Linked DNA regions of Callithrix jacchus. The protein of the gene in region 7 interacts with the protein of the main gene of each other region in a pairwise test. Links are inferred from orthologs where the notes say so. Each region holds a gene or a part of one and is shown on either strand. Other genes may lie near its edges. The genes, in order: BYSL, CREB3, LUZP4, FATE1, ABT1, TRIM42 and EMD.

The links.
Region 1: the proteins of EMD (region 7) and BYSL interact in binary tests that used the Homo sapiens proteins (3 or more experiments, as listed by UniProt). The two-hybrid records come from large-scale screens. The link is inferred for Callithrix jacchus from reciprocal best matches to the Homo sapiens genes EMD and BYSL.
Region 2: the proteins of EMD (region 7) and CREB3 interact in binary tests that used the Homo sapiens proteins (3 or more experiments, as listed by UniProt). The two-hybrid records come from large-scale screens. The link is inferred for Callithrix jacchus from reciprocal best matches to the Homo sapiens genes EMD and CREB3.
Region 3: the proteins of EMD (region 7) and LUZP4 interact in binary tests that used the Homo sapiens proteins (3 or more experiments, as listed by UniProt). The two-hybrid records come from large-scale screens. The link is inferred for Callithrix jacchus from reciprocal best matches to the Homo sapiens genes EMD and LUZP4.
Region 4: the proteins of EMD (region 7) and FATE1 interact in binary tests that used the Homo sapiens proteins (3 or more experiments, as listed by UniProt). The two-hybrid records come from large-scale screens. The link is inferred for Callithrix jacchus from reciprocal best matches to the Homo sapiens genes EMD and FATE1.
Region 5: the proteins of EMD (region 7) and ABT1 interact in binary tests that used the Homo sapiens proteins (3 or more experiments, as listed by UniProt). The two-hybrid records come from large-scale screens. The link is inferred for Callithrix jacchus from reciprocal best matches to the Homo sapiens genes EMD and ABT1.
Region 6: the proteins of EMD (region 7) and TRIM42 interact in binary tests that used the Homo sapiens proteins (3 or more experiments, as listed by UniProt). The two-hybrid records come from large-scale screens. The link is inferred for Callithrix jacchus from reciprocal best matches to the Homo sapiens genes EMD and TRIM42.

Annotation. Positions count from the first base shown.
Region 1 is NC_133505.1:50,424,053-50,428,049, reverse strand, and holds the start of BYSL (bystin), read right to left. Parts: upstream 2,801-3,997; 5' UTR 2,741-2,800; coding exon 2,473-2,740; intron 1-2,472. UniProt on the Homo sapiens protein: Required for processing of 20S pre-rRNA precursor and biogenesis of 40S ribosomal subunits. May be required for trophinin-dependent regulation of cell adhesion during implantation of human embryos.
Region 2 is NC_133502.1:142,636,979-142,641,006, reverse strand, and holds the start of CREB3 (cyclic AMP-responsive element-binding protein 3), read right to left. Parts: upstream 2,801-4,028; 5' UTR 2,611-2,800; coding exon 2,476-2,610; intron 2,383-2,475; coding exon 2,235-2,382; intron 2,164-2,234; coding exon 2,096-2,163; intron 1,983-2,095; coding exon 1,893-1,982; intron 261-1,892; coding exon 154-260; intron 73-153; coding exon 4-72; intron 1-3. UniProt on the Homo sapiens protein: Endoplasmic reticulum (ER)-bound sequence-specific transcription factor that directly binds DNA and activates transcription. Plays a role in the unfolded protein response (UPR), promoting cell survival versus ER stress-induced apoptotic cell death.
Region 3 is NC_133524.1:111,522,060-111,526,219, reverse strand, and holds the start of LUZP4 (leucine zipper protein 4), read right to left. Parts: upstream 2,801-4,160; coding exon 2,794-2,800; intron 2,153-2,793; coding exon 2,018-2,152; intron 878-2,017; coding exon 759-877; intron 1-758. UniProt on the Homo sapiens protein: Export adapter involved in mRNA nuclear export in cancer cells. Binds and enhances the RNA-binding activity of the nuclear RNA export factor NXF1. Can restore mRNA export function in cells compromised by loss of mRNA export adapters.
Region 4 is NC_133524.1:148,013,588-148,017,579, reverse strand, and holds the start of FATE1 (fetal and adult testis-expressed transcript protein), read right to left. Parts: upstream 2,801-3,992; 5' UTR 2,719-2,800; coding exon 2,610-2,718; intron 1,615-2,609; coding exon 1,487-1,614; intron 1-1,486. UniProt on the Homo sapiens protein: Involved in the regulation of endoplasmic reticulum (ER)-mitochondria coupling. Negatively regulates the ER-mitochondria distance and Ca(2+) transfer from ER to mitochondria possibly implicating it in the regulation of apoptosis.
Region 5 is NC_133505.1:4,274,677-4,278,602, forward strand, and holds the start of ABT1 (activator of basal transcription 1), read right to left. Parts: upstream 2,801-3,926; 5' UTR 2,780-2,800; coding exon 2,539-2,779; intron 1,864-2,538; coding exon 1,667-1,863; intron 1,515-1,666; coding exon 1,134-1,514; 3' UTR 1-1,133.
Region 6 is NC_133518.1:43,734,248-43,737,747, forward strand, and holds part of TRIM42 (tripartite motif-containing protein 42), read right to left. Parts: coding exon 3,184-3,500; intron 815-3,183; coding exon 590-814; intron 1-589.
Region 7 is NC_133524.1:150,171,711-150,175,893, reverse strand, and holds EMD (emerin), read right to left. Parts: upstream 2,801-4,183; 5' UTR 2,668-2,800; coding exon 2,586-2,667; intron 2,462-2,585; coding exon 2,354-2,461; intron 2,206-2,353; coding exon 2,128-2,205; intron 1,915-2,127; coding exon 1,781-1,914; intron 1,346-1,780; coding exon 1,299-1,345; intron 1,218-1,298; coding exon 890-1,217; 3' UTR 483-889; downstream 1-482. UniProt on the Homo sapiens protein: Stabilizes and promotes the formation of a nuclear actin cortical network. Stimulates actin polymerization in vitro by binding and stabilizing the pointed end of growing filaments. Inhibits beta-catenin activity by preventing its accumulation in the nucleus.

The DNA.
Region 1 (3,997 bases), on a different chromosome or scaffold from region 7:
AAGAGAAACTAAAAAACTTTGTTCTTATACAGCTTACATTCTAACTGGAGGAGACAGTCTATGACCATACCACCCTGAACGCACTGATCTCATCTAATTGGAAGAGACAGACATAAATAAATGTATAAATATATTGGGTTAAAAGATAACTATTATGGGCAAGGCGCGATGGCTCATGCCTGTAATCCTAGCACTTTGGGAGGCCAAGGTGGCTGGATCACCTGAGGTCAGTAGTTTGAGACCAGGCTGGCCAACACGGCAAAACCCTATCTCTACTAAAAATACAAAAAAAGAAAAAAAATTTGCTGGGTGTGGTGTTGGGTGCCTGTAATCCCAGATACTTGGGAGGCAGAGGCAGGAGAATTGCTTGAACCTGGGAGGTGGAGGTTGCAGTGAGCCAAGATCTTGCCATTGAATTCCAGCCTGGGCAACTGAGTGAGACTCTGTCTCAAAACAAAACAAAACACAATGATGCCTATATAGATCGAGTGGAATGGGCAAAGGAGAAAGCAGTAGAAGAGGTCAGACTGGCAAGGAGGCAGATGGTATAGGGATTGTAGACCCCCGTACCCCAGCTGTTGAGTGTTCTGAAGAGTACGAGATACAGCAGGGCATGGTAGTTCACACCTGTAATCCCAGCGCTTTGGGAGGCCAAGGCAGGGAGGATCGCCTGAGTTTGAGACCAACCTGGGCAACACTATGGGACCTCATCTCTACAGATAATTAAAGCATTAGCGGCTAGGCGTGGTGGCTTATGCCTGTAATCCCAACACTTTGGGAGGCTGAAGTGGGCAGATCACCTGAGGTCAGGAGTTCAAGACCAGTCTGGCCAACATGGTAAAACCCCATCTCTACTAAAAATACAAAAATTAGCTGGACGGGGTGGCTCACACCTGTAACCTCAACTACTCAGGAGGCTGAGGCAGGAGAATTGCTTGAATCTGGGTGGCAGAGGTTGCAGGGAGCCGAGATCACACCACTCCAGCCTACGTGACAGAGTGACTGTCTAAAAAAAAAGAATTAGGTGGATACATGGTGGCATACACCTGTGGTCCCAGCTCTATGTGGGAGGCTCGGGTGGGAAGATAGCCGGAGCCCAGGAGATTGAGGCTGCGGTGAGCTAAGATTGTGCCACTGCACTCTACCCTGGGAGACAGAGCGAGAGACTCTGTCTAAAAATAAAATAAAAAGGAAAGGAAAGAAAAGAAAAAAAGGAGAATATGAGATACTATCTAGGAGGCTACTGTGATAATCCAGGTGAGTCTGTGATAATCTAATGTGAGAGACTGGTGGCTTGAACAGGATGGTGTTCCAAAGTGGTGAAAAGTGGTCTGATTTTGGATATAACTTGATGGCAGAGTTATCAGAATTTCCTTACAGATCAGATGTGGGGAGGGAGGGAGAGAGAGGAGTCATGTTTATCTTTAGCAAATGAAAGAATATCATGCTACTCACTGAGACAGTGGTGAGAGAAGCAGGTTTGGAGAGAAGGTCAGGATTGGTTTTGTACATGTTAAATTTGAGCTGTTTCAAATTGGAGGTGCCAAATAGGCAGTTGAATATAAGAATCTGGATTTCATGAAAGAGATCAGGGCTAAAATATAAAGTTAGGAGTAGTCACCCAAGAGATGGTATTGAAACCATGAAACCTGACAGCACTAGAGAATATCTGAAGAGAAGAGGTCAGAGGACTGAGGATAAGAGGTTGCAAGTAAGAGTCAGCCAACGATATTGAGAAGTGAGGTGGCAGTGAAACAGCAGTGTTGATGTCTTATAACCCAAGTAAGGATACTGTGGGCAGGAGGCCACTATTCAATTGTGTCAAATATTGCTTTAGATGAGATCTGAGAAGTGGATGAAGCACCTCAGAGGTAAGCACTCCCTCCCTAGTAAGAACCTATCAAACGTCAATTCATTTCTCTCCCTTTTTGTCTGCGAAACGTGTTTTCTGCTCATTACACTTCCCATTCGTTTTTCAGTTCTCAGCTTAAAGGTCCTACAATCGGAGAAGCTTCTCAAGACCAATGCTACTGTCACCAGGGAAACGATATTTTATCATGGAAATATATTATTCTAAGAGTCTACGTAATTGTCTCTCCGCTGGGCTTGACTGTAAGGTCCTTAAATCAGACGTGTCTGTATGTTGTTACTTCTGTACTCAAATATTCGATTGAACTTCGAGCATAGCGCAAAGCTCGTAGTAGGTTTTCCATAAATATTTACAAAACCAATGGATAAATGCTAAGAACACTTAGTGGCGCGAGCGATTACTTCCTATTGGCCTAACTTCGGGGGTGCCTAGAAGGGAGTGCCTAAAACTAGGAGTGGGCGCGGAGGTCTCTGGCCATTGCTTAGTCTCCCATTCCATTACTTTTGCAAGTCCCCTGCCGGACACTTTTTAGCTGTCCTCCCCCCCGCCCCCGGCCCCGCTGCTAGCCATTGTCTTGTTCGGACCTCATCCCAGACACTCACCCAGCCGCGTGGTGCGTTCCTGCGGCGCCGCGGGCTTGTCCCCAGTCCCATGCTCGGCCTCGAGCTCCTCCTGTTGCTGCCGTGCTTGCTGCAAAATCCGTCGGCTCAGCCGAGGCCCCACATACTCTTCCTCCTCTTCTCCGGTGCCACGACCCCGCCGCTTCTCCCGGACCCCTGCCCGCAACGCATTCCCAGCTAGGATCTGCTCAGCCAGGGGCGCATGTTTTTCCTGACCCCCGGCCCCACGGGTGGCCTTGAACTTGGGCATTTTTCTTGAAAATACTGCCGGGAAGGTTCGCACGTGGGGACGACGAAAAGGCCAGAATACACTTGGGTGAACTCCCACCTCCCAAGAGGCCACGCTGCGATCACAGCGCCCTCTAGCTATCGGAGGCCAGAAGCGCTATCAGCACCGCCCCTCCCACTAAAAGAGCTCCTGGGTTCCGGAGCTGGACTCCCAAATACATTTACTTCCTTTAACGTTGGCGTCTCTCAATAGTGCAGTCTAAGTCTCGTTCTTCTAGCTTCATGGATCTAAGCCTAGAGTGCTCAGCCAACCGGGAATTTCCGGAGCTAGAAACATGAGAGCGGGAATCCACTGATTATGTCACTGGAGGCGTCACCGACGGGTGCCAAGACACGCCCCATTCCTTGGGGAAGGCGTGGACCCGGCGCTCTGTTTTTACGTATTTCCGGAATCCCTTCTGCGACCGAAGCCTGTGTTGGGGAACTGAAGCAGTTCCTGTGGGCGGACTGGGAACGACGCATTTCTACTGTGTGATCCTGCCACCTTCCTGTCCCGACACCATGGGAGTGACTTGGTAGGACTGCAGGGGTTTTGTGGGGCGGGATTTGGAGTTGTGAAGGGCCGGGAAGAGGTCCTTGACCATGGCCCGCCGTCCTCTGGGAGCTGAGCGAAATGTCCTCGGGTTATCTGGATAAGAGGATACCGTGCGGGCCGCGGGTTCCCTGGGCCTTTTTCCTCGGAGATGCGCTCTTACCTCTTGGAAGGCGGCAGAGCAAAGGTTTTATACCAGGGACCTATCAATGGTTATGTACCTTCTTCCCTTATGGGTACATCTTCCTTCCCGTGAGGCCATAGTACTGTCTGCACTTGGACCTCAAGGTTGGAAATAGGGACTTTGGATTAGGACCTACCTGCAGACAGGGTTGGAGGGAGTAGGTTAAAAGCGATCAGGAGACAGTATTTTTTTTTTTTTTTTTTGAGATTTTCGCCTACCCTTGTCTCAGCCATCAAATGCAGTTAGACCAGCTGGTGTCTGTTTGTAATTTGCCCATTTTAAGATCTTGGGTCTAGAGGAAAAAAGAGGCTATTGATAAGAAGGAGATCGTGGTTCCAGGCACTCTTTAGGACCTGCTTCTCACTATGTTTAATTCCATGGTTGGTCTAGTTTCAATGGAGTTTTTATCTTTCATATGTTTTAAGTCTCAGTTGGAAGATGAGGTGGCAGGGAAAGGTACAACGCTCGCGGAGGCATTAGTTGTAAGGTACTAGGTCCCAGAC
Region 2 (4,028 bases), on a different chromosome or scaffold from region 7:
TACAAATTCTGTTCCTCCAGAAGCTGTACTTTGTTCTGAAGCTCCATATTCTGGGCTGTGTATTTCAAGACCCTGGGGGAAATAAAGATATGGGTATATGACCTGTATCCTCCCTTCAAAAATCTAACAACTGAGTCTCTCTCCCTTTCATACCTGCTCTCTAAACCCCCAACATACACCTTCTTCTTCCTGCGGCTCTCTTGAGCAGATCTTTTATTTCGAATCTTCCTTCGCACACGTTTCAGAATTTGTTCCTCCATCTGAAAGCAAACAGGGAAAGGGATACCATGAGAGGGACTCTAGACCAAGGAGTTGAAAGGCAACTGAGATCAATCTCTTTCCAATGCAGAAATCTCTTCTACAGCTTCTCTGACCAATAGGCATTCAGTTTCTTTCTGAATGCCTCCACGGACCAGGTGTTAACCCTAACAAGCCAGACCATTTTAAACAATTAAAAAAAAAAATTGGTCAGGCAATATGCAGCCAACGTGGCTTATGCCTGTAATCCCAATACCTTAGGGAGCTAAGGCAGGAGGACTGCTTGAGCCCAGGAGTTTGAGACCAGCCTGAACAACATATTGAAATCTTGTCTCTACTAAAAATAAAAAATTAGCTGGGTGTGGTAGCACACACCTGTGGTCCCACTACTCAGGAGGCTGAGGCAGGAGGATGGCTTGAGCCTGAGAGGTCAAAGCTGTAGTGAGCCATGATCTTGCCACTATACTCCAACCTGGGCAATAAAGAAAGAACCTGTCTTTAAACAAAACTTTCTTATCCTGAACCAACAGCTGCCTCCTTATAATTTCTATCCATTAGACTTACCTAGTATTTCTGGGGCCAAATAGAATGAACTGTGTTAGCTATTTTAAGGCACTTAACATTTCCTCAGAGCTTAAAAAAAAGAAAAAAAAACTTACACAAAATTTTTAACATCATCTTAGGATAGCCTGCATCCTCTTAATATCTGTCAAAGATGGTCTCAAAATTGGACATTAAGATGTGCTCTACCCAGTATAAAGGAAAGCAAGAGAGTCACTTATAGAGGCAATAACTCTATTGCTACAGTCTCCAAATTCCATTCACTTTCCTAGTAGCCACATCACACTGCCGATTCATCTTGTACTTTGAAGAAATTAAAATTCTGCACTTTGGTAGCTCCAGGTGGGTAGATCACTTGAGCCCAGGAGTTCAAGACCAGCCTGGCAACAAGGTAAAACTCCATCTCTACTAAAAATACCAGAAAAGATTTTGCTGAGCAGGGTAGTATGCACCTGTAGTCTCAGCTACTTGGGAGGCTGAGGTGGGAGAATCACCTAAGCCCAGAAAGTCAAAGCTGCAGTTAGCCATGATCACACCACTGTACTTCAGCCTGGGCAACAGAGCAAGACCCTGTCAAAAAGAAAAAATTCCTGTAACCTTTTTATTAATGAGCACTGATTTCATCATAGTATCACAGTACTCTGCTTGTGAAGTTGCTGCTCATTGCTTAAAACTTAAAACTCAGGATTTTACATTTATTCATGTCCTGCTTAGTCCACCCCTGTTGAACTCTAAACATTTTTACCATTCAGCAAGAGGTAGACTACTATCAAGCCAATGAAGTGTCAAGGCCCTTCACTTACACAGTCCTTTCCAAGGCCCAATACTAAGTTACATTGATGATTTTTTTTTTAGGCAGAACACCAAAATTTGTATAAGTAAGCCCAACAAATACGAGTATCTGCCCTTGCATCTAGCACATTAGGTACCTGCCCCAACTTCTTATTAGCAACAAATCTGCTAATTTTCTCAACTCAATCCTTTTTTAAAGTTATTGATATAAAGTTAACAAAACTGGCCTACTTGGGACTCTTACTCCCTTTCAGCCTTTGCTCAACCAATGAGAGTCTTACCTTAGTGAGAGGAAGTGTCTCAGGCAGAATAAGCCCCTCCTTCTCCAATAGACTCTTCTCCTCATCTGTCAGTACCAACCTAACAGTCTCCTAGGGTAACAAGAAAGTGGGCAGCAGTTGCATGGGGATGTCAGAGAGGAATGGGGAATCCTGCCCCACCTGGGGAATGTGAGAGTAATCTTCCTGAAAATCAAGTCAAGTACCTGCTCTGCCATTTCCTCCACATGCTGTGTAGTCATCTGGGTCTCCTCTTTTCCAAAGCTCTCACTCTCTGCAAAAGGGAAAGTATGAATAGCCAGGCCCATGAATCCTCTCCTCCCAGCAAACTTACTTCAGACTCACCTAGATCAACAGAGACAGCTTCCTGTGGGAGGGAGTAGGTGTGGTCGTGGTGGACAAGGCAGGGGTTGGAGGAGCTGAGAACGTTCAACGATGCTGGGGGACTCAGCAGTGAGCTCAGCAAATCATCTAACTCCCAGTCACTCGGTACCTGCGCAGGGTTCCAATGAACAGGCCTTGACCTATAACCATCACCTGACCTCATGGACATCCCACGCTTTCCCCAGTCGCAATCCCAACCCACCTCAGAAAGCAGCAGCTCCCAGTCCAGTGGGGCCCTGATGGCCTCGTGCGCCGTCCCCAAATCTCCACTTGCCTCTAGCAGGAAGCCCAGCAGGTCTTCGTCACCAGGATCCAATTCTAGCTCCATTTGAGACATCTACGTAAAGGGTGGGCCACGGGGCCCCAACGTCCGAAGCCCAGACACGAGTCCCAGATCAGCTGTCGGCCTTTGGCACTTTTCCACCGCCCCTCTACGGCCGGGCTTCCCCGCCGGGGCTATCCGTAGCCCTCTCCGGACCCACCTCCCAGGCTCAATTCTCCTCAGCCTCCAACACAGCGAAAGTGACGCACCCGGCCCCGTGGCATTCTGGGACTTGGAGTTCTCTCCAACTGGAAGGCGGCCTGGGTGCCGCGCCACGTCCCAAGGGCTATGCAAATACAGGGGACGGCCCTGCCGTCGCCTCGCACCCCGAGGGCGGAGGCTCCGGGGCTCCGGCTCCGCCTTCTCCCCCAGGCTGGAAAAATTAAGAGTTCAGGCCTAAAAGGAAGCTCAGGCGTCATCCGGGCGTCGTCTCAGCATTGCGCCGTACCCTCGCTTCCTGCCGGGGAGTGGCTGCCGGGCTTCGGCGGCTCCTGAGCATCGAGACCGGGGCCAGAGCAGCTTCCTGCCGGCCCCACGACCATAGAGCGCGAGCCCAGGGCGCCGCCCGCGGGTGGGGGACGTTCCTGGGACGGAAGTGGCCGAGGGAGTGTCGAAGGGAAGGCGAGGCCGGAGCCAGAGGGCGACCCGAGAAGCCTCAGGGCTGCGGGCCGGCGGGCAGGGCGCAGAGCCAGGCAGCGCAGGTAGGTTGGACCGGACCGGGCTGGGCCGGGCGGGGGCCTTAGGGTGGGGCCGCGGAACCTGGCCCTGGTGGCGGGCAGGCGGGGCCCTGCCTCTCCTTCGTGTCCGGTTCGGGTCCTATTAGTAGGAGAGGTCAGGGTCCAGCGCATCTCGACCTGGGCTTGGCGTGAAGTAGGCCGTCTTAGGGGAGACAGACCTTTCCTCGGAGCAGTCCTCTGCCTGGGATAGGCGTTGGGGAGCGTGAGGAGTCGGGTGGCAGCGGGGCGCAGGGCGGGGACGGGCTTTGGTGTTAGCTGATAGCGGGCATGTGGGTAGGAAAGCTTTGGGTGAGTTGCAGATTAGGTGGGATCGGTTTAGGAATGAGGGGTCGCTGTAGGAGTTAAAAGCTGGAGTTAAAACTTGAGTCAGTGTGAGTCAGGTCCGTTTTGGATAGGTAAGGTTTAGATTAAGGTCATTATTTTGTTTACTGGCATGGCCAGCATTCGTCATAATTTGAGTTCAGGATCGGGTTAAGGGTCAACAACAGGAATCAGGTTAGAAATCTGTTTGGGGGATTAAAGAACGTTGGCATGCTCACTATTAAGAATAAACAGTGAAAGGGTGAGTTAGGAATCAGTTTACAAATGAACTTTAGGCTTTGGGGTCAACATTTAGGGTTAACATCAGGGGATTTGGTGCTAAAGGTAAAACGTAGATCAGTGTTAGGGTTCAGGGATTGAATATGGGTCTTTGCT
Region 3 (4,160 bases), about 39 Mb from region 7:
AAATTCCATATGACCCAGCAATCCCCTTACTGGGTCTATACCCAAAGGATTATAAATCATTCTATTTAAAAAAAAACACATGCACATGTGTGTTCACAGCAGCACTGCTTACAATAGCAAAGACCTGGAACCAACCCAAATGCCCAGCGACAATATACTGGACAATGAGAAGGTGGCACATATACATCACAGAATAGTACGCAGCCATAAAAAATGAAGAGTTTGTGTCCTTTGTAGGGACATGGATGAATCTAGAAAGCATAATTCTCGGCAAACTGACACAAGAACAGAAAATCAAACACCGCATGTTCTCACTAACAGGCGGGTGTTGAACAATGAGAACACATGGACCCAGGAAGGGGAGCATCACACACTGGGGTCTATTGAGGGGTGGCCAAGGTAGGGACAGTGAGGGGTGGGGAGGTCAGGGAGGAATAACATGGGAGAAATGCCAGATGTAGGTGACGGGGGGATGGAGGCAGCAAACCACATTGCCATGTGTGTACCTATGCAACAATCCTGCATGATCTGCACATGTACCCCAGAACCTAAAGTACAATAATAATAAAAAAAATTAAAAAATAGTTGCAGGGGAAAAATCAACTACCAAACATTGAATTTAAATTATGTTCAAGGTACCTTGGAGGAATACCAAGAAACAATCCTTGCTTTCAATAGAATTTAAAGTAAATCATTAATATTAAAAATATATTAAATATAGGACTTTTTATATTGGTAAATTCTTGTTTTTTGTTTACCTGCTCAAATAAAGGCTTCCTATTTAAAGGGTGTTGTCCAGACTTCAATCCAGAAGGTTCTTGAGATGGTTTTTTATCATGATTTCCTTCCTCAAAGTTGCTTCTGAATCTTGAGTAGCCTTTGAACAATAAGCATTTTCTGTATTTTCAAGTAGTAAATTCAATGCATCTTTCAGAAGTATTATCTCTGATCTCATTTTTTTTTAAAAGCTATGCACTGGGTTTTGCAAAACTTTTGATTTTTCATTACTTTGATATAATCTGGTAATCTCACTGAATTCTAGAAGTCTTTGCCATACTATTTCAATTTGCACACCTTAATAGGATAGTCTCAGTACATATATCTCAATTTTGGTTTTATATGCCACCAAAGTTGGGACATACTATCTGAAATTAATTGAAAGAATACTCCAATAGAAAAAGGAGAGATAGAGAGAAAGTGTCTGCTTTGTTTGGGCATAAAGGCAGTTTAAGAAACCATCAAATAATATAGATCTCCAAAAGGCTCACGAAGAAGATCAATTTTGCAATGACTGTTTAGGCACATAAGAATGGGCCATGTTACCCTTCTTGGCTGCTCTGCCCTTATTATAAGTACCATCGCTTCTCTTTTCAGAACATGATGAGCCACTGAAGATTTACACAAGAACTTAAATGAAGCTGCATAGGCAACCATCAGGGGCTTAGAGTAATCACAATGTCAAAATGGTTTCAATCTATTGACTAGACTATGAAGACCTTTAATTGTTCAAAAGACTCCTTGTATTATGGCAATCTGTAGCACATTCATTTAAAAAAATACATACTGCACTTACCAATGAGGTTAGGAATACAGAGAACATCTGTCATGTTCTACCCTACTCTTGTTGTCCTACAACATTTGTATTTTCAAAATGTGGATGCCATAGTGTTCAGATTATTGACTATGCTCTTAACCCTCCTGTATTGCCTCCTAAAAGTAGAACTGGACCAACCAACCGAGGTTTGTAAACAAGTACAAAATATCTCTCAGCTCGTATGGCTAATTTTCTTATCCCATTCTCCATTAGGGAAGTAACTTATATACATTAAAATAAATTTTTATTCATATGACATGGCATAAATTCTTACCAACCCTGTATGGGTCCATGCCTAGAAAAAATAAAACAAGCAACATAATGTAACTTTAGAACAATGTGAATTCTTGATTTTGCTTACCTAGTTATTCACAAATATTTCAGACTCTTTTTACCATGTGTGACCATTTTTAACATATTTACCTCTCTGATGGCGATGTCCATGACCATTTGATTGTTGTCTTGAAGGCAAATCCTTTTTACTATGAATCTGTCTTGTATTCCTTTTTTCTATTTCAGCATTTATCTTTTCTAACTTTTTATAGAGTATAATGTCATCTGTATTAGAAAATACATAAAAAAGGAATAAAATGGCAAAAAACAAATTACAACGTCTCACATGAATAATCTATATCCTATCTCATCATATTTCAGAATACCAAAAAACTGATAACCCTAAAAGAAGATAACATAATAATAATGAATTTGTTAAATTATAATAAAGGTCAAACAATACAGACATCTTAGGGTTTGCTGGAACAAGAAAGAAAAATTCCTGTTGGATTTATGGTAACTTCATTTATGCAAAAGCAAAATACTTCCACATTGCAATAGCTGGGTGGGAGGTGGCGAAGATCATCTAAATAAATGATTTTACTAAATGTTATTTCAGTGTCATAGAAATACAGAGCAATAGAGTCATTATAGCACAGCTCACAGCTAAGTAAATGCAAATCAGCAATTAAATGTAAAGCGATAGACCATTAAATGTCTATCTGATTAAGTGTGATAGACAATTAGTTACATGCATTTTATCAAAAACTAACGAAGAAAAAGGAAGTGACAAAAGTAAGAAAGTGGTGATGGAAGTAGGAGACACCACAGAAGTGAGGAACCTAGATTATTGTATTAGGAGGAAGCAATCCGACTTTACTTTGTAGTCAGGCACGTACTTATGTACTCAGGCAGAGAGCACTTACATGGCATAATTTAAAGAATGGGGGACAGATACAACTTGAGGCAAGAAAAAAAAAAGGGTATTCAATTAGGAAAAGAGGAAGTGAAATTTTCTCTATTTGCAGACATGATTGCATATTTAAAAGACCCTATCATCTCAGCCCCAAATCTCTTTAAACTGATAAGTAACTTCAGCAGTCTCAGTATACAAAATCAATAAGCAGAAACCACAAGCATTTCTATACACCAATAACAGACTAACAGAGAGCCAAATCATGAGCAAACTCCCATTCACAATTGCTACAAAGAGAATAAAATACTTAGGAATACAACTAACAAAGGATGTAAAGGACCTCTTCAAGGAGAACTGCAAACCACTGCTCAAGGAAATAAGAGAGGACACAAACAGATGGAGAAACATTCCATGCTCATGGTTGGGAAGAATCAATATCATGAAAATGGCCAAACTGTCCAAAGTAATTTATAGATTCAACGCTATCTCCATGAAGCTACCAATGACCTTCTTCACAGAATTGGAAAAAAACCACCTTAAACTTCATATGGAACCAAAAGAGAGTCCGCCTAGCCAAGACAATCCTAAGCAAGAAGAACAAAGCCAGAGGCATCATGCTACCTGATTTCAAACTATACTACAAGGCTACAGTAATCAAAACAGCATAGTACTGGTACCAAAACAGAGATATAGACCAATGGAACACAACAGAGGCCCTGGAGGCAATGCCACACATCTACAACTATCTGATCTTTGACAAATCTGACAAAAACAAGCAATAGGGAAAGGATTCCCTGTTTAATAAATGGTATTGGGAAAACTGGCTAGCCAAGTGCAGAAAGCAGAAACTGGACCCCTTCCTGACACCTTACACTAGAATTAACTCCAGATAGATTAAAGACTTAAACATAAGACATAACAGCATAAAAACCCTAGAAGAAAACCTAGGCAACACCATTCAGGACATAGGCATAGGCAAGGACTTCATGACTAAAACACCAAAAGCATTGGCAACAAAAGCCAAAATAGACAAATGGGACCTAATTAAACTCCAGAGCTTCTGTACAGCAAAAGAAACAATCATTAGAGTGAACCGGCAACCAACAGAATGGAAAAAAATTTTTGCAATCTACCCATCTGTCAAAGGGCTAATATCTGGAATCTACAAAGAACTGTAACAGATTTACAAGAAAAAAACACATAACCCCATCCAAAAGTGGTGAAGGATATGAACAGACACTTTTCAAAAGAAGACATATATGAGGCCAACAAACATGAAAAAACACTCATAATCACTAATTATTAGAGAAATAAAAATCAAAACCACATTGAGATACCACCTCACACCAGTTAGAATGGTGATTGTTAAAAAATCTG
Region 4 (3,992 bases), about 2.2 Mb from region 7:
GGCAGCTTGATTTGGCTTCTGTCTTTGGACACAGGAAGCCAGATCAACATCTGACCTATTTTTATTCCCAGGAAATCTTTAAACCTGGAAGCCTTTTTTCTCAATCTTCCCTGGGGCCATCCAACAAATCATTTCAGCAATCAAGTCTCCCTCCCTTTCCCAGTAACTTCCAAACTTTTCTGTGGTAACAGTAAAAACCACCATTTTCTAAAATTTTATTAATTTTTCCTCACCAACCTGAATGTGGTGAAAAGCATTGGCTACAGAAAGATGGGATTTGTGATTCCCTAAAGCAGTCAGGTCTCCCTTCTCTCCAAAATAAATGCCTTTTTCAGTATCCTTTGCGACAATGTGGCCAGCATCTTTCTAGAACATTCAACATCCACAGTGAATGTAGCTTAAAGAATTGGCCACAGAACCGTGGGACTCACATTATTTCCTGGAGCAGTCAGTCCTCCCTCCCTCTCCAATCCTGTTGCCTTTTCCCAGCAGCCTTTGCAACAGCATATCAATTTTTCTAAAACTTTCCCTTACCCACAGTGAATGTAGCTAGCTAAAAGGATTGGCTACAGAACTGTGGAACTCACCTAATTCTCCAGAAGAGTCAGAATTCCCTCTCCCTCCAAAATGACTGTTTTTCTCAATATCATTTGCAGCAGTATAGCCACTATTTGTTCTAGAATATTTCTTCACCCATATTGAATGTAGCTTAAAAGCATTGGCTACAAAATTGTCAGATTCACTTCACTGGATTTCTTCCTTTCTTCCTTGCTTCTTCTCTCTCTCTCTCTCTCCCCCACCCCCTTCTTTCTTTTTACAGAGTCTCTCTCTGTTGCCCAGGCTGGAGTGCAGTAGCATGATTTTGGCTCATTGCAACCTCTGCCTCCTGAGTTCAAGCGATTCTCATGCCTCAGCCTCCTGAGTAGCTGGGATTACAGGCATGTGCCACCATGCCCAGCTAATTTTTTTATTTTTAATAGAGATGGGGGTTTCACCATACTGGCCAGACTGGTCTCGAACTCCTGGCCTCAAGTGATCTGCCCATCTCCTCCTCTCAGAGTGCTGGGATTACAGGCATGAGTCACCATGCCAGGCCACTTGACTGGATTTCTTAACAGCCAGAAAGGATAGGAGCCTCACCTGACTTATTGTGTGTATACACACACGTGTACCACACACATAATTTTAAATACAGGAAAGCATTATTTCACGCAATAGATTTACAAAGTAAAGTATTTATTTACTCCCTAAGCAATATTTGTTTCAAGAATTCCGAACTCCCAAGGTTGAACCTCTAGTATAGGAAAGGATGACCGTGACCTTTAACTGGACCTTCCTTTCCTCATTTGCCAGCTCGGAACACAGGAGCTTTCTCTTCCTCCCAAGTCAATGTCTAGCCCTGACTGACCTGGTGAGGCAAGAGCCCCTACAAACAGTACTCCCAATCCCAACCTGGCCACCTTATGCTGAGGACCCCATACAGTACCATTTTCTTGGGCCGGGTGGCAGTCATATTCCAAACTGGTTTGGCTTCAGCAGAGCCTGCAGCTTTTGATTCCACCTTCTGCCTCTTCTGGGGGACACTGAGGGACCGAGATCTATGATCCATCACTTCTAGAGAGAAGAACAGAGGCCTCAGGAGCACCCACAGAAGTTATACCAGGGCTTTTTGGACACGAAACACAGCATAAAAGAAGGCAGAGGCCACAGCCTTCTCGGGAATCACTCAACACCCGTTCAACACTATCCACCAGCTGATCCCAGGCCTCAGTTTGTTCATTTGTTCAAAAGTTAATCAAGCATTTCCTGATGGCTGAGCTCGAGACTAGGTTACTCTCTATTCACTTAGAAAGCAATGATCAAGAACAAGATTCCAGCTCTCAAAGAACTGACCATCTGTTTGTGTATAAGGGGGAATGACAGGTGTACAGCAGAAAGTAATCTATCCTCGCAAATGCAGACAGAGAGACACAGGCTCCATAAACGATCAAAACATGGTAACATAGTAGAAGGAAAGGGCTCCCTCTAAAAAGTAGGAGACAAAAACTGAAGCAGGGACCTGAAAGAAATAAAGGACCCAGCCCTGGGAAATTGAGGGAAAGCACATTCCAGACAGAAGAAACAGCAAATGCAAGGTCTTTGGGGAATAAGCACGCTTGCAGCATTGTAATAACAAACATAAATGCAGTGTGATCTTGGCCCTTTTGTGAGCTATAGAAATGATATTTTCTGTCTATATCATAGCATGAAATGTTTTGAGGAGGCTGATACTATCTTATAGACTGTGGAGTTTGGACTTTCCTCTGAAGGGCAGGGAAATGAATTAGAGCATTGGGAGAGAGAATTGATCTCTGATCTTGTAATTTGAGCTCTCTGAGTATTTTGCAACAGACATGGTGGTGGCTTGGACAAGTGGGAGACAGTAGGAAAAATGCTCCCTTTTCCCTACCTCCCTTATCATCAACCCACAAATCCTCGAAGCTCCCCAACACACACATGTGCAAACACTTCCTTGCACACATGCACCTTTTCCAACACACACATGCACAGGTATAGACACGTATCTACAGAGTTGGCTATAGCCAAGTGGTATTTTAGAGGATCCTCACCTGCTATCCCCAGGTGCTCTTGGTTTTGCCCTTGGCTTCCATGATTCAGTTCTTCAGCCAGGGATATTTCTACCTCCTCCCTGGTGCTGATAGGGCCTCCTGCCATCATAACCAGCTGTTCACTTGTAAGCAATGGCTAAAAATGTGCAGGGTGCCAGAAACAGAGGAGTCACACTCAGAAAATCGCCTCTTCCAGGGACAGGAGCTCAAGGAAGATATAGTAGGACCTGGGGGTGGAGTGACACTCCCTCTCTAGGCTGAGGCCTTGGACTGAGTACCTTCTGTTCCCATTGTATCTAATTGGTTGGGTCCATGGCGTTCTCCCCTGCAACTCTGTAAGCAGCTTAGAAGAGATACAACTCCAAGCTTTTGCCTGTGAGAACTGCTCTGGCTCATGGATCTCCAGATTTAGCTCATGGGGGATCCCATCATCATTTCTAGGCAGATGCAAGGATTGGCACAGGGTCCAAGAGCCACACAGTGGCCACAGCAGAGTTAGGTCCTAGCAATCCAGGCCATACCATGCCTTCAAAAGGGATTCTCTGGAGAGCATATCCTACCTCCCATATCCAGAGTCCCCAAACACAGGAGGCAGCCTTTTTCTGAAGTCGGTCAGCCTAGGCAGGAGCCATGAGAACCAAAGGAGGGAAGGGTGAAAGAGGTGTGACCTGACTGCAGCCACTAGAACCCCAAGGGCCTCAGGCCCTGCACCTTCTAAGTTCCAATTCTCCCTCAGCTTACCTACTGACTAGACCACTGTGATGGTCAGGTTTATGAGTCACCTGGGCCAGGCACTTGCCCCTGGTGATTCCATCAAACACCGTGTAGGTGTTGCTGATGAGGCAATTTGTAGCTGTGATTGGCATCTACAACCAGTGGACTTGAAATAAAGTAGAGACTCATCCTCGATGATGTGGGTGGGTCTCACGCAATCAACTGAGAGGCCTGAAGAGCAAAGACTGAGGTTTCCAGAGAAGAGGCATTTCAACCCCAAGACTGCAGGGTCAACTCTTGCCTGAGTCTCCTGCCTGCCGGCCTGTCCTGTACATTTCAGACTTGTGAGGCCCACAGTCACATAAGCCAATTTCTTAAAATAAATTTCTCTATATTTGTGCATATGTAGATACATACATACATACATACATACATACATACATACATACATATATCCTATCAGCTCTGTTTCTCTGAAAACCCTGATTGCTACAACCACCAATGCTGAACCCTTCATTTAGGAAACAACCCCAGAGCCCCTGGGGTAATAGGAGGCTATTTGTAAAAGGAATCCTTTATAAACCTGTCCTGGTTCCTTTTCCAAATAGCCTCCTCTTCCCCCAGAGTCCCTGGGCCAAGTGGGAGGAAGAGGTGGAAGAAAGGAGGAAA
Region 5 (3,926 bases), on a different chromosome or scaffold from region 7:
ACACTGATTCTTTGAAGACTACAGGGCTACTTTGCCCACGTGTGAATCCTCTCTTGTCGCAGCCCCACCATATATAACCTGAGGTGCACTGGTTCTCTACTAGGCTTTGCCCACCTTTTCAGTGGTTCCAACCCAACACTCCACCCAGGAAGCACTGTTTGCAATTGTGGGAGCACATCATACTCTTTCAGATTTCTGCTTTATTATTTTGCAGTTTACTTTCTAGGAATGACCTGGAAAAGTTGGTGAGGACTGACTCACCTCTGGAGACTGTGATCATCAATTAGGTTCCCACTGAGAGCACTCTATGACCTGCCATGGCCCCCACTCCATCCCTTATATGCATCTACCACGATGCCTATCTGTCTTCTACTAGTGGCCTGAAGACTCTTAATGCCAAGGGCCATGTGTTATTATCTACTGTCACTGTTTCCTCCTCAAACAATGGCTTACAAAATGCTGACTTAACTGACTGATAAACTGGGCTAAGATATTAAGTAGACAGAAACTAAACAGAAAAAAAAAACCCAGATGAAATGGCAAGGTGGATGGTGGTGGGGGGGTGCTCTAAGATCAGGAGATGGAATGAAGGTGAAGGGAACACAAAATCAAAGTTGAAATCTGTCCAATGCCCCCTAATAAAAATAAAAAGGCACATAAAAATATTTTTATTTTCTATAAACACATTTGGAAGAACTGTATTTCTTCCCAACCCAGTCTACCCCATTAACTGTCAATTTTTTCTACATAAAAAAGATGCCAATACCACCCTCACCTGTGACTGCTAAACAAAAAGATTGCCTGGACTAGGCATTATCCCCCTTGTTGGAAATAAAGGCCCTTCCTGGGGGCAGGCAGTCAAGAGTCAAACAAAACAAGCATATGCAGCAGTCAAATCATGTTAGTATGACAGTATGAATTAGGTGACTCACCCAGGCATGAGTTTGGAGAGGGAACAGTATAAGCCCACAAAACTTCCACGTTTGGGCCCTGACCAGAGACATTTGGTCTGAAAAACACAATAAAATGTCTGCCTGGGTAGTCACAATCCTTCTAGTATGAGGTAGACAGGAAGTAGAGCAGGGCCAGGAGCTGGAAGGGGTCTCCCTGGCCCTCAGGAGTCCCCCTGGCCCTCAGGAGTCCCTGACCAGGGACGTTCCATTCATGCTCTCTGAGGGTAGCGGGGCTCCAAAGATCCTGGCCAGGAGCCCTTTGTTGGAGCGGGCCTTGTCCTGGACAGTTGCCAGGCGAGCCCGTTCACGGCCCCCTGGCCGTGCTGCTTTCCGGGCCCTCAGTTCCTGCTCAGTAGGACGCTGGGCAAATGTCCAGGAGCCATCTGGGCGGGCAGGGTCCCCATCAGCAGCAAGAAAGCGTTGTCCCCGTTCTACACTTTGAAGATAGAAGTCGGTCTCACGCTTGGCCTGAGCAACCTCCGCTCTCAGGCGCTGCCTGCGCACCTGGCGCTCAAAGGCAAGGTGCTCGCTGAGGTGGGACCAGGTGAAACGGTGCAAGTACTGTGGGCAGAAAATCAGAAAAGATCAGGATAGAGCAGATGAGAGAGAAAAGTGGGGGAGGCTCAAGGCCAACGAAAGGCCATGGGGATACTTGGACCAGGGCTGCGGAGAAGGGAGGGTGAGAGGTGTGGCAGAAAGATCTAGCTCCTCACCTTGAGGTTCCATAGGTCATAACGGAAGGGGCTGCGCCTGCGGGCACCCATAGGCGTGTTGTGTAGACTGGCTGCCACGCGCTTGGCTACGCGCTTGTCGCGGAACTCCACCCATCCCTCGGTGTAGTCCTTGCTGTAGGACCGCTTCTTTCCTCCCGCGGCTGCTGCTGCCTTCTTCTTGCGTCTCACGAACCTGTCTGCGACCCAAAGGCAAAGCCCTGTCGAGGATGCCTAGGCCGCGTTCCCCCAAAACCAAACCTCCCACTGCCCATATTGTTCTTCGCATCTGCCAGCGGGAGTCCCACCTGAGAGTTTCCGCCGGATGGAGGGAACTCTTAAGTCACGCCCTTTCCTCTAACTCAAGTCTTTCCTCAAATGTCCACTCCTTAATCTGGCCTGCCCCGAACGCTATTTAAAACCTGCACAAGTCCCCAACCTCAAGCAGTGCCTGCAAGGGGGTGAAAAGACGAGGGGCGATTGACCAAATCGTTTCTTGACCAAGGTCGCGATGCCAAAGGTGTGTGTTCAGTTTTGTAGAAGAGCTGAGCAGGCTTTTACTCGGGTTGTACTCATGTAACAAACCAGTGAACAGGTCCGGGGAGAGGTGAGCAGAACCGGAGTAAGAACGCAAACAGTGACAATCCGAGAACTAAAGAAGCACCAGACACACTGCGCTACCTACTCTCCCAGATCCCCACGGCGCGCCCACCCCAGCACCGTCACCAGCCGGGAGCTGAGCACCGCACTGCCCACCGCCCAAATCCAGCAGCTCGCGCCTCAGCCCTGCGCAGCGAACCAAGAGGACATGCATGCTTGCCCCCCGCCAGCGCGCGACCACCTCCTCCTTTCACCGCCAGGGTCTGCACACTTACCCTCAGCCTGAAAGAAAACGCGTCCCACCTCGCCGTAGGCACTGAGAAGGTTGCGGACGTGCAGGGGCCGGAAGCGCGGCGGGATATGTCCCAGGTACACGATACCTGGCACTACCCGCTTCTTGCTGCCACAAGCCACTTCTTCGTATTCCTCCTGCTCCTCCTCCGCGTCTACTGCCTGGTCCGTCCCTTCCAGCGGCTCTTGTTCCGTTGCGGCCTTCTCGGATTCCTCTCCCTCCATGTTGACCGACACGAACAGCACGACAGCCGTAAAGTGCCTTGCCAACCGACGCAAAACGCGTGCGACGGCCTGACACAAGGGGGCGGGGCCGAGGCGTTAATGGCAAATGACAAGATTGGGCTAGGCAGGCGGATCCGGGGAGAGGGCGGAAGTAGGGTATCGGGTCGGAAGCCTGATTTGAGCGTGGGAGCGGGATAGAACGCTCGGGTTAGGCTCACGGATTCCCGGTCAGGTCTCCAATTCAGGACAGGCAGAAGCAGAAAAGGCAGATCCCCAAATATAACCTACCGTGTAGAACGCCTTGTTGAGATGGTAAAAGTCAGGTTGATACTGGCTTTTTGGAGAGTTTTGCAGAACAATTGTAGGGAAGGTACTATGTGTTCTAGCAATCAAAATAGCATTTTATTCAAGGGCCCCGGGTGCGTTTACAGCTGAGGAACGACTGTCTTAAAGTTGATAAATTTCATTTTAAAAATTTGAGTTTTGAAGTTTTAATTCTTTCTGGAAGGCCGGGAGCGGTGTGGCTCATGCCTGTAATCCCAGCACTTTGGGAAGCCAAGGCGGGCGGATGACGAGGTCAAGAGTTCGAGACTAGCCTGGCCAACATAGTGAAACCCTGTCCCTACTAAAAATACAAAATTTAGCCGGTCATAGAGGCGCGAGCCTGGAGTCCCAGCTACTCGGGGAGTTGAAGCAGGAGAATCGCTTGAACGCGGGAGGCGGAGGTTTTACTGAGCCAAGATCGCGCCACTGCACTCCAGCCTAGGCGACAGAGCAAGACCCTGTCTCAAAAACTAAACTCAAATAAATTATTTCTGGAAATTTACTTTGGAATTTTGCATATTTTAAAATTTAAATTTTGAAAACAGTTTAATTTTGGAAATTTAATTAGATTTAATTTTTGAAAATTTAAGTTGCTTTTAGTCTAATATTTTAAATTTGATTTGTGAATGTTTAAAAATGTAAATATGCGACAATTATTTGAACCATTTGCTTGGCATCTATGACACGTGTGTCTTGATACATTATCCACATGCATATTTAAGCTGCAAATACATGTCAGAGGCACACACGACTCCAATTCTGGTGACTCCCGGGTCGCTTAGTTCTGCCCGCCCTGGGTCTGTCCTCACAGATTCCCCATCAG
Region 6 (3,500 bases), on a different chromosome or scaffold from region 7:
CAAAAAGGATAGCAATAGTTTTGTCCTTTCTTTTTTGGAAACCACAATGGCCTGCTTGGTGGCTGTCTCTTGACTTTCAGATGAACAATTTTTTTTTAAGAATAAATAGGTCCTAAATACTGTACTGGACATATTTATATAAAAATTATTGTGTGCCAGAAATTCAAATCTAACTGGGCATGCTGTATTTTTAGTTGTTAAATTTGGCACCCCATCCTTGACTGGGAATAGCACCTCATTTTTGTCTTTTTCATACCACAATTATTTCATGTTCTTCTCACACAACAATTATTTGTTTTCTAGACCCCGAGTACCTTGAAGGCAGGGATTATGTTTATTTTCCTCTGACTCTCTACATTTCTACCCAATGCTTAGAACAAATTTTTTGAATCAAATAGAACAATTCTCAGGCCTCATCTGCAAAGTCTGGTTGAGGCCAGCAGCCCTCTCTCTGGCCTCAAGTTAAATGTTATGTGCTTAGAGGAAGAATCCATGGTGAGTTCTGTAATCTCAGGATCATCTTAACAGGGCCTCATTCAGAACTTATCATAGAAAGGAAAATCTGTTTGAGAAATAATGTACACAGTACCTTGCAGATATCACTCCATTGCCCAGGACCATTATCATTGATGGCTCTAACTTTAAACACATATTCTGTGTTGGGGGTCAGGTTGTGCAGCTCCAGATTCTGCTGCATTATGTCCCGAATTTGTCCACAGAGCTCCATTTGTACATTGTTAGGAGGAGAAGTAATGACTTCATAGAATTCCATCTCAAAAGAGTCCACATCTTCTGTTGGACATGTCCAGTAAACCTATGAAAGAAATGAACATACGGGTGTGGTACTAGTATTCACCATTCAGCTTTCATTCCCTTAAAGATTTGTGGTGTTGACTATCTGTAGGGTAAGTTTAAGCTGACCCCATCCCCTGTAGCTGCTGAGGACTTTTAATTAGACCATGCATAAGTCTTGGAAGGCTGTGTGTTGAGGCCTGGCATAAGACTTATAATGAGTTTCACAAGCAGAAGATTTATGTTCTGTCAGTCAGCATGGAGGTGACAATTGTCTTCCTGCTTGAAAAATACAGAAAAATATAGGGGAAGAAAATAAACATCACTCATAAACTCACAATTCAGTTAAGTCATTATTTCTTTGCAATTTCAGAACACACACAAAGATACAGAAACATATATATAAAACTCGGATTATGTTGCTTTGATTTCTGTTTTCTTTTACTTATGTTGTATGTTTTCCTAAATCATTAAAAATTCAGTTAACTACCATCTTTAAAATTTCTACCAAAATAATTTAATCCTTCTATAGTTGAACATTTAGGTTGTTTCTAATTTTACTCTAATAATAAATGTTGCAATAAACACTGTTAGGCATGAATATTTGTTTGAGTTTTCAATCATTTTCTTGGAAGAGATTTCTAGAACTAAAATTGAGTTTTAAAAAATCTCTAGGATTTCAACAATACATATTGATAAGTTACAAGACTAAGTTTTAGAATGTTTTCTATGCTAACATCCTAAAGATTTGAGAGTGATATTAACATAGACTTAATTTTCTGCATTGCTGAGCACTATGATTCCTGTAGGAAGTCCATTCTGTTATTCTAAAATATGGTTCAATGATATTTTAAAATCAAATATCACCATCTGGCAGTAGGTTTAGGTGTCCTCTTTTGACCACAAATGACTTGACTGAGTTGTTTTGTGTAGGTCCCTTTCTTGAGCTCATCAGGGATGATTAATAGGTGGCATGGGGTGACTATTTTCCATGCCCAAGTGTAGAGCAGACACCACCAATCCTCTGGCTCCAGAGCAAGATCTGCCAACTTCTCAAGAGGCCCGAGTTGCCAAGGAGATGAGACCTAGTGCTATCCCTGAGGCAATGAGCATATACTACGGGCCTTGCTGATCTAGTATCATTTGGAAATGCAATTCAGCTGCTCAGTTATGGGCATTGCTTATGTGAAGGGCAGAAATACTTCATCATGTCCTGATAACCCATGAAATGTTCTACCTTGCAAATTATGGGTTGTTCTTTGTGTCAATTATAGATAACAAAACGTGGATTATGATGTCTCAGGAGAATGGAAAAGTAAAGCCTGGTCTGTGTCTGGCCTTCATTTTTTAGATCTTTGACACTAATGTGTGGTCTGTAGACAGCAGCATTGGCGACACCTGGAAGTTTGTGAGAAACAGAATCTCAGGCCCCATTGAAACCTACTGAAATAGAATCTGCATTTTAACAAGATCCCCAGGTGCACATCTGTGCTTGAGAACTGCTAGTTTAGAACTCAAGGATTTAAAAGTCTTTGGGAATGTTCTCAGATTATGGGAGACAAAAGATGGGCTCTGCCACATGGGAGCAGGCCATGGGCTGACTCTAGAAAAAATCCAAGAGGAGACAGGAGGCACTCTGATAGAATATTTAGTGGAATGTTATTCTTTTTTCCTCTATAAACTTCAATAAAGTGTTCTATAAACAATTCAATGTGGGTTCAGCTAGATTTGAAAGGTATGTCAAAGAAAAGGCCATTTGTCCATGTTAGGTCAAGAGGGTCAAAGGGAAGTCATGTCCCTTGAGGCCAGGCAATGGAACTTATAGAGGTCTGTGAGAGACCCTACTCTTCACTCTGTCCCTCAAAGGGAGGTTGACTTAGAAGAGCTGAAATTTCACTGGGGATGATCCTCCCTATTTTTCCAAATCATAGAGAGTCTGGATATTTTCTTTAGGAAAGGTAGCAATTTAGAGGAAACAGCTGATAAGTAATGGAACCTGCATTTCTAACTCCAATTTCTGTGCTGTCTCTATTACAGGCTTTCCTCTGGGAAACATTACACTGCCGAGTAGTCTCTTCAGATTACTTTGGTTCCTAGATTGGGTTCTCTTTCAGTTGAGAAACTGCCTTTGCAGTGGAGATAGGGCTTTCAGATATATTTCCAACTATGAGTTAAATGTATTGACTGTTTGGTTTAAGCAAATCTTGCATTACTTAAGATTTCAGGAACTTATCCCTTTTGAATGGACTAATCACAAAGAGTCCAGAGGAGCAGATCTGAGTGACCAGACTCTAGAGGCAGGTAGGTAAGCGCAACCTTTCCTGACTGCTCACTTCCACTCTGTGCCCCACACCCTCCCACCTTCCCCACTGGGCCCAGAACCTTTCTTACCTTGGCAGCTCTTGGGTACACCAGAGTCTGGTAGATAACAATTGGGCCCGGGGTCTTCACAGAGCCACCATTGAATAAGTACCAGTTGTGGAAGCTGCTGCTGTTTTGTACAGACTGACTATCTGGTGCGGCACTCCAGTAGGTGTAGAGGCCATCTGTGGGTTTAGCAGGGGTGGATGACTGGGCTCTCCCACAGGCCTCCAGACCCACCTTGGCCTTCTCGTCAGTGTTGCTGAAGGACAGCAAGGAGGAGCTTCGCTGATAGATCTGCTGGTTGCCAAAGCTGTGGGTGCTGAAAGTGACCTTCCTGGCAATCA
Region 7 (4,183 bases):
CATACCCAGGGCAGAAAATCTGGGAGTTAAGTGAGAATATAGGCAGGTGAATTCTACCACCCAGGGATGATGCGGCCTTTGGAGCTTTTCTCCCATGGTAAACAAGCAGCAGTTCCAGGAGCCAAGGATGATCTGCCAATGAGACGCCTCATCTTCTTTCTGTCCCCATGCCTTTGGACAATCGGGTGGACTTCAGCTTTTTCCAGTTAAAACACCCGCAGACTGCTGGTGGCGTGCATGCAGCTTTGCCTGAATTTCCAAGTGGGTTCTCTGTATATACCTTGTTGTACCACAATTATATGTATAAGCAGTTACACGTGCTTTGGGGAATGAGTCAGGGAATAAAACTCCCAAACAAAACACAAACATTTCTGGGTAGCAATTGATTCCTATCCCCAGACCAAAGCCAAAATGCAGACCCAGCAAGGCCAGATGCCCTTGCCATGGGAACCCAACCCTCTCCTCCAGGAAGAGTCAACACATTAAAAATAAATGGGGTTTTTATTGTGTGTCCACGAAAACAAAGTCATGGTGGCCTTTGGTTAATCCCCTCAAGATGACAACTAAAAGGAGGCATGCATGACAACAACAATAACCATGTTCTCTGATGGAGCGAGGCCTTGCCCTCCTGGACCCTAAGGGTTACAGGCAAGCAGGGCCAGGAGGCTAGAGAGGAAAGCACACCCAGGTCCCCCAGATCATGGAGGGCTTGAGTCTGCTGCCTCCCTGGTGGGACAAGGCAGGGGAGCAAGCACTACTCTGGGCTGGGCCAGCGCCCCCCAAGCGAGAACACACACAAAAGCCCCCACCCCCACCCCCACCCCCACCCTCACTGCTAAGGCCATCAGCCAGGACTTCCCCAGAAGAGCTGGCTCTGAAGCCCAGACCCTCAGGGCTCCCTCCAGAAGGGGTTGCCTTCCTCCGCCTGCATGAAGTAGTAAACAAAGAAGAGGAAGATCGCAAAGACCAGGAAAAGCAGCAGCTGGCCCCAGAGCGGGACCTGGCGATCATGGCCAAGCCCAGCCCCAGGAGCATGCTTTTCTGGCCGGATGGCTCGGCGGGTAAGCCATGAAGGGGAAGATGAAGATGAGGACACAGAAGAGGTGGAGGAGGAGGTAGGATAATAGGATAGGCCCAGGGAGCTCCTGGAGGCTGAAACAGGGCGGTAGTGCGCGATGCTCTGGTAGGCACTGTCCCGGCCGTACATGGGACGTTCCCTGAGGCAAAAGAGGGGAGCAGGTGGGCCAGGAGCCTGGGTGCAGAACCAGTCCCTGTTCCTGGGCCTGCCCTCTACGTACCTATCCTTGCACTCCTCTTCAGAAGACAAAAGATTGTCATCACGCACCTGCAGAAGAGAGTCAGGGTGAGTGGACCGACTGGCAGGGCCACCATGGCCCTGCCACATCCCTCAGTCCAAACTTCCCCAGCTGGTGCCCTCTGACCTTTGGTTAGAGGCCAGGGACCCACACCCTCCCGAATGGCTCTTGGTGTTCAGTCTTTTGTTTGTGGGGTCTTGTCACTTGTGCTCATGCCCTGCTATTCCCTTTTGCCCCCAGGAGTCTCAGGAAAAGCTTGAGCCTAGATTGCAGACCAGGGTGCTCTAGTCACAGTTCTGATGGCTCCCCAAAGTAGGGACCTGGCCAAACAGGCGTCTGCTGAGCCAGTCTCCCCAGAAGCACAGAAGCCACCATTTGTATCCAGTGGCCCCCTGGATTTATCCAAACACAGCCGCCATCCCCTAGATTGTACTCAAGTACAGGGCACCTGCCAGCCAGCTCACCTGGTGGTGGAAAGTGTCAGCATCTGGGAGTGAAGTCGCAGACTGGCGGAAGCCCCTGGACTGGCCCGCAGAGTCGGGCTCCCCATAAGTCCTGGTAGTTAAGTAGCTCTCTTCATAGTAGTCGTCATTGTAGCCTTGGGAAGGGGGGCAGCGGTAGCAGAGGGGGCATCGGTGTGCCCCACCTGGCCTGCTGGCCCTAATCTGAATCTCTTTCGGGACCTGTGACAGTTTCTCCCTCCTAAGGCTGCTGGAGTGGTTGGGGCTGAGGTCTCAGGTCCTCCCTGTGAGCGGGGTCCCTGACGCAGTCAGGTGAACGTGCCAGCGTGCCCACCCCACCCCTGCCTTACCCTTGCTCTGGTAGAGTAAGGCGTCCTCTTTCTTGGGAAGATCATACATATCTGAATCCACTGACGGCGAATTCAAGTCTGGATTGAAGGGAGGCGACAGAACTGTTTGCCCCCCAGGCTTCCCTCCCCTCTCCCCGGTGCCGCTCTCGACCGGCGCCCCTGCCACACCCTCGCGACCCCGATCTCCCCGCATCCCAGGCCCGGTCCCCACAAGCGAGGCTCTCACCAGAGAAGCGATAGGAGAAGGAGGCGGCGGACGAGCTGGGGGGCGAGAGCCGCCGCCTCTGGGTCTCGTACTCGAAGATCTTCTTCTCGTAAAGCTTACGAGTAGACCCTGGCCGGACACGAGGCGGTCAGGGCCACAAGCCGGGGAAGGCGCGCGGGTAGGGTGGCGGGGAGGGCGCGGGGCAGAGCGCGGGGAGGGGGCCCGGGGGCAGGTCCTGCCCGCCGCCGCGTACCGACAACTGGCCCGTGAGGTATGTTGTACTGGCGCAGCACGGCGGCCAGCTCGGTATCCGAAAGACCCGCGTAGTCGTCCATGGCGGGTGCGGGCGCGGGCGGAAGCCGGGCCCCTGCCAAAACCCGCCGAGCAGCGGCTGCCGAGGATCACGGCGGGGGCGGCACGAGCGCCTCGGGAGCGATCGCGCTCGCGTCACAGCCAAATCACTGTCTCGTCACGGCCTCGGGCTCCGCAGGCTGCGCGCGCTGTGCGGGGAGGGGCTTAACGGCGGGAGCAGCAGGCGCAGAACGGCCGGGCCTTGGGAGCTGGGAGGCTGGGGCAGTGAGTCCAAACGTCATAAACGCACGGATTGGCTAGCGGCGGACGGGGCGGGGCCCGCGCCGAGAGTCAGGACAGTGGGAATCAGTCTCGCGGTGGGAGTGGGCGGGGCCGCAAGCCCAACGTCACAAACACACGGATTGGCTAGCGATGGAGGGGGCGGGGCCCGCGCGGGAGCGGAGCAGAAGGTGTCGCGGTGGGAGCGAGCGGGGTCGCGAGTCCGTACGTCACTAACGCCCGGAGCTGTTGGGGGTGGGGCCCGCACGGGAGTCTGGGCGGTGCGGCTGGGAGCCTAGACGTCACCTTGAGGCGTGCGTGAGCCAGTCGGTAGAGAGGGGCGGGGCCTGTGTGTCTAACACCCGGCATCTGCCGGCCGGGAAGTGAGAGCGGCCTAAGTGGGCGCTAGCGGTGGCTCTGGTCCCTAAGTCACTTGGGCTCCCCACCGTCCCAGCACATCCCTTCTCTACGCCCTGGTCCCCTTTCCCGTGGCCCCAGGGCGTAGGATTCCCCGGCCGCATCCGGGTCGGCCGCCCCAGCAGCGGCGGGAAGGGTCTGAACCCTAAGGGAGCGCCGGCCCCGGGCTAGGCACTACTGAGGGAGCTTTGTGTGCGCATCACCTGGGAAGCGGCTGTGGGGCAAGGCCCGCGCCTACGCGGTCCTCGCAGACCCCCTGCCACGGGCCCACCTTCCCAGTCTGCAGGGCTGTCGCCCGTGCACATATGCTCGCTGCTTCCCACCGCCTCCCTCCTTCCTTTTCTCCTACCTCGCTCCACCCGGGAGGAAATGGGGCACTGGGCCAGGAGGCCGCCGGCACTCCAGGAGCAAGCAGCCTTCGAAGGGGCCCGGGCAAGCCAGCGAGCACGCCAGTGAGCGCGGACAGAGGGCGCTGTGCGATGTGTGCAGAGATGACGTGTGTCCAGCCTAACGCTTCATGTCGTTCATTCACCCGGGGCACTGGCGGGAGCTGAAGTGGGGCTTCCTCTTCTGTCGGAATGGCCCCTGAGCCCAGCATAGCCCGGCAGGGGGCAGACGTGGGTGTCGAGCTATGGAAGGGCTGCCAAGGCCTGCTCAGGAGCCTGGACTGTGGCTAGGATTCCCAGGACCTTGATCAGATAAGGGCTGCCCTACGGAGAATGGAGAAGAGGTGATATTCTTTTTTTTTTTTTTTTTTTTTTTTTTTGAGAGAGTCTCGCTCTGTCACCCAAGCTGGAGTGCAGAGCCGCAATCTTGAGTCTCTGTAGCCTCCACCTCCCAGGTTCAAGTGATTCTCCTGTCTCA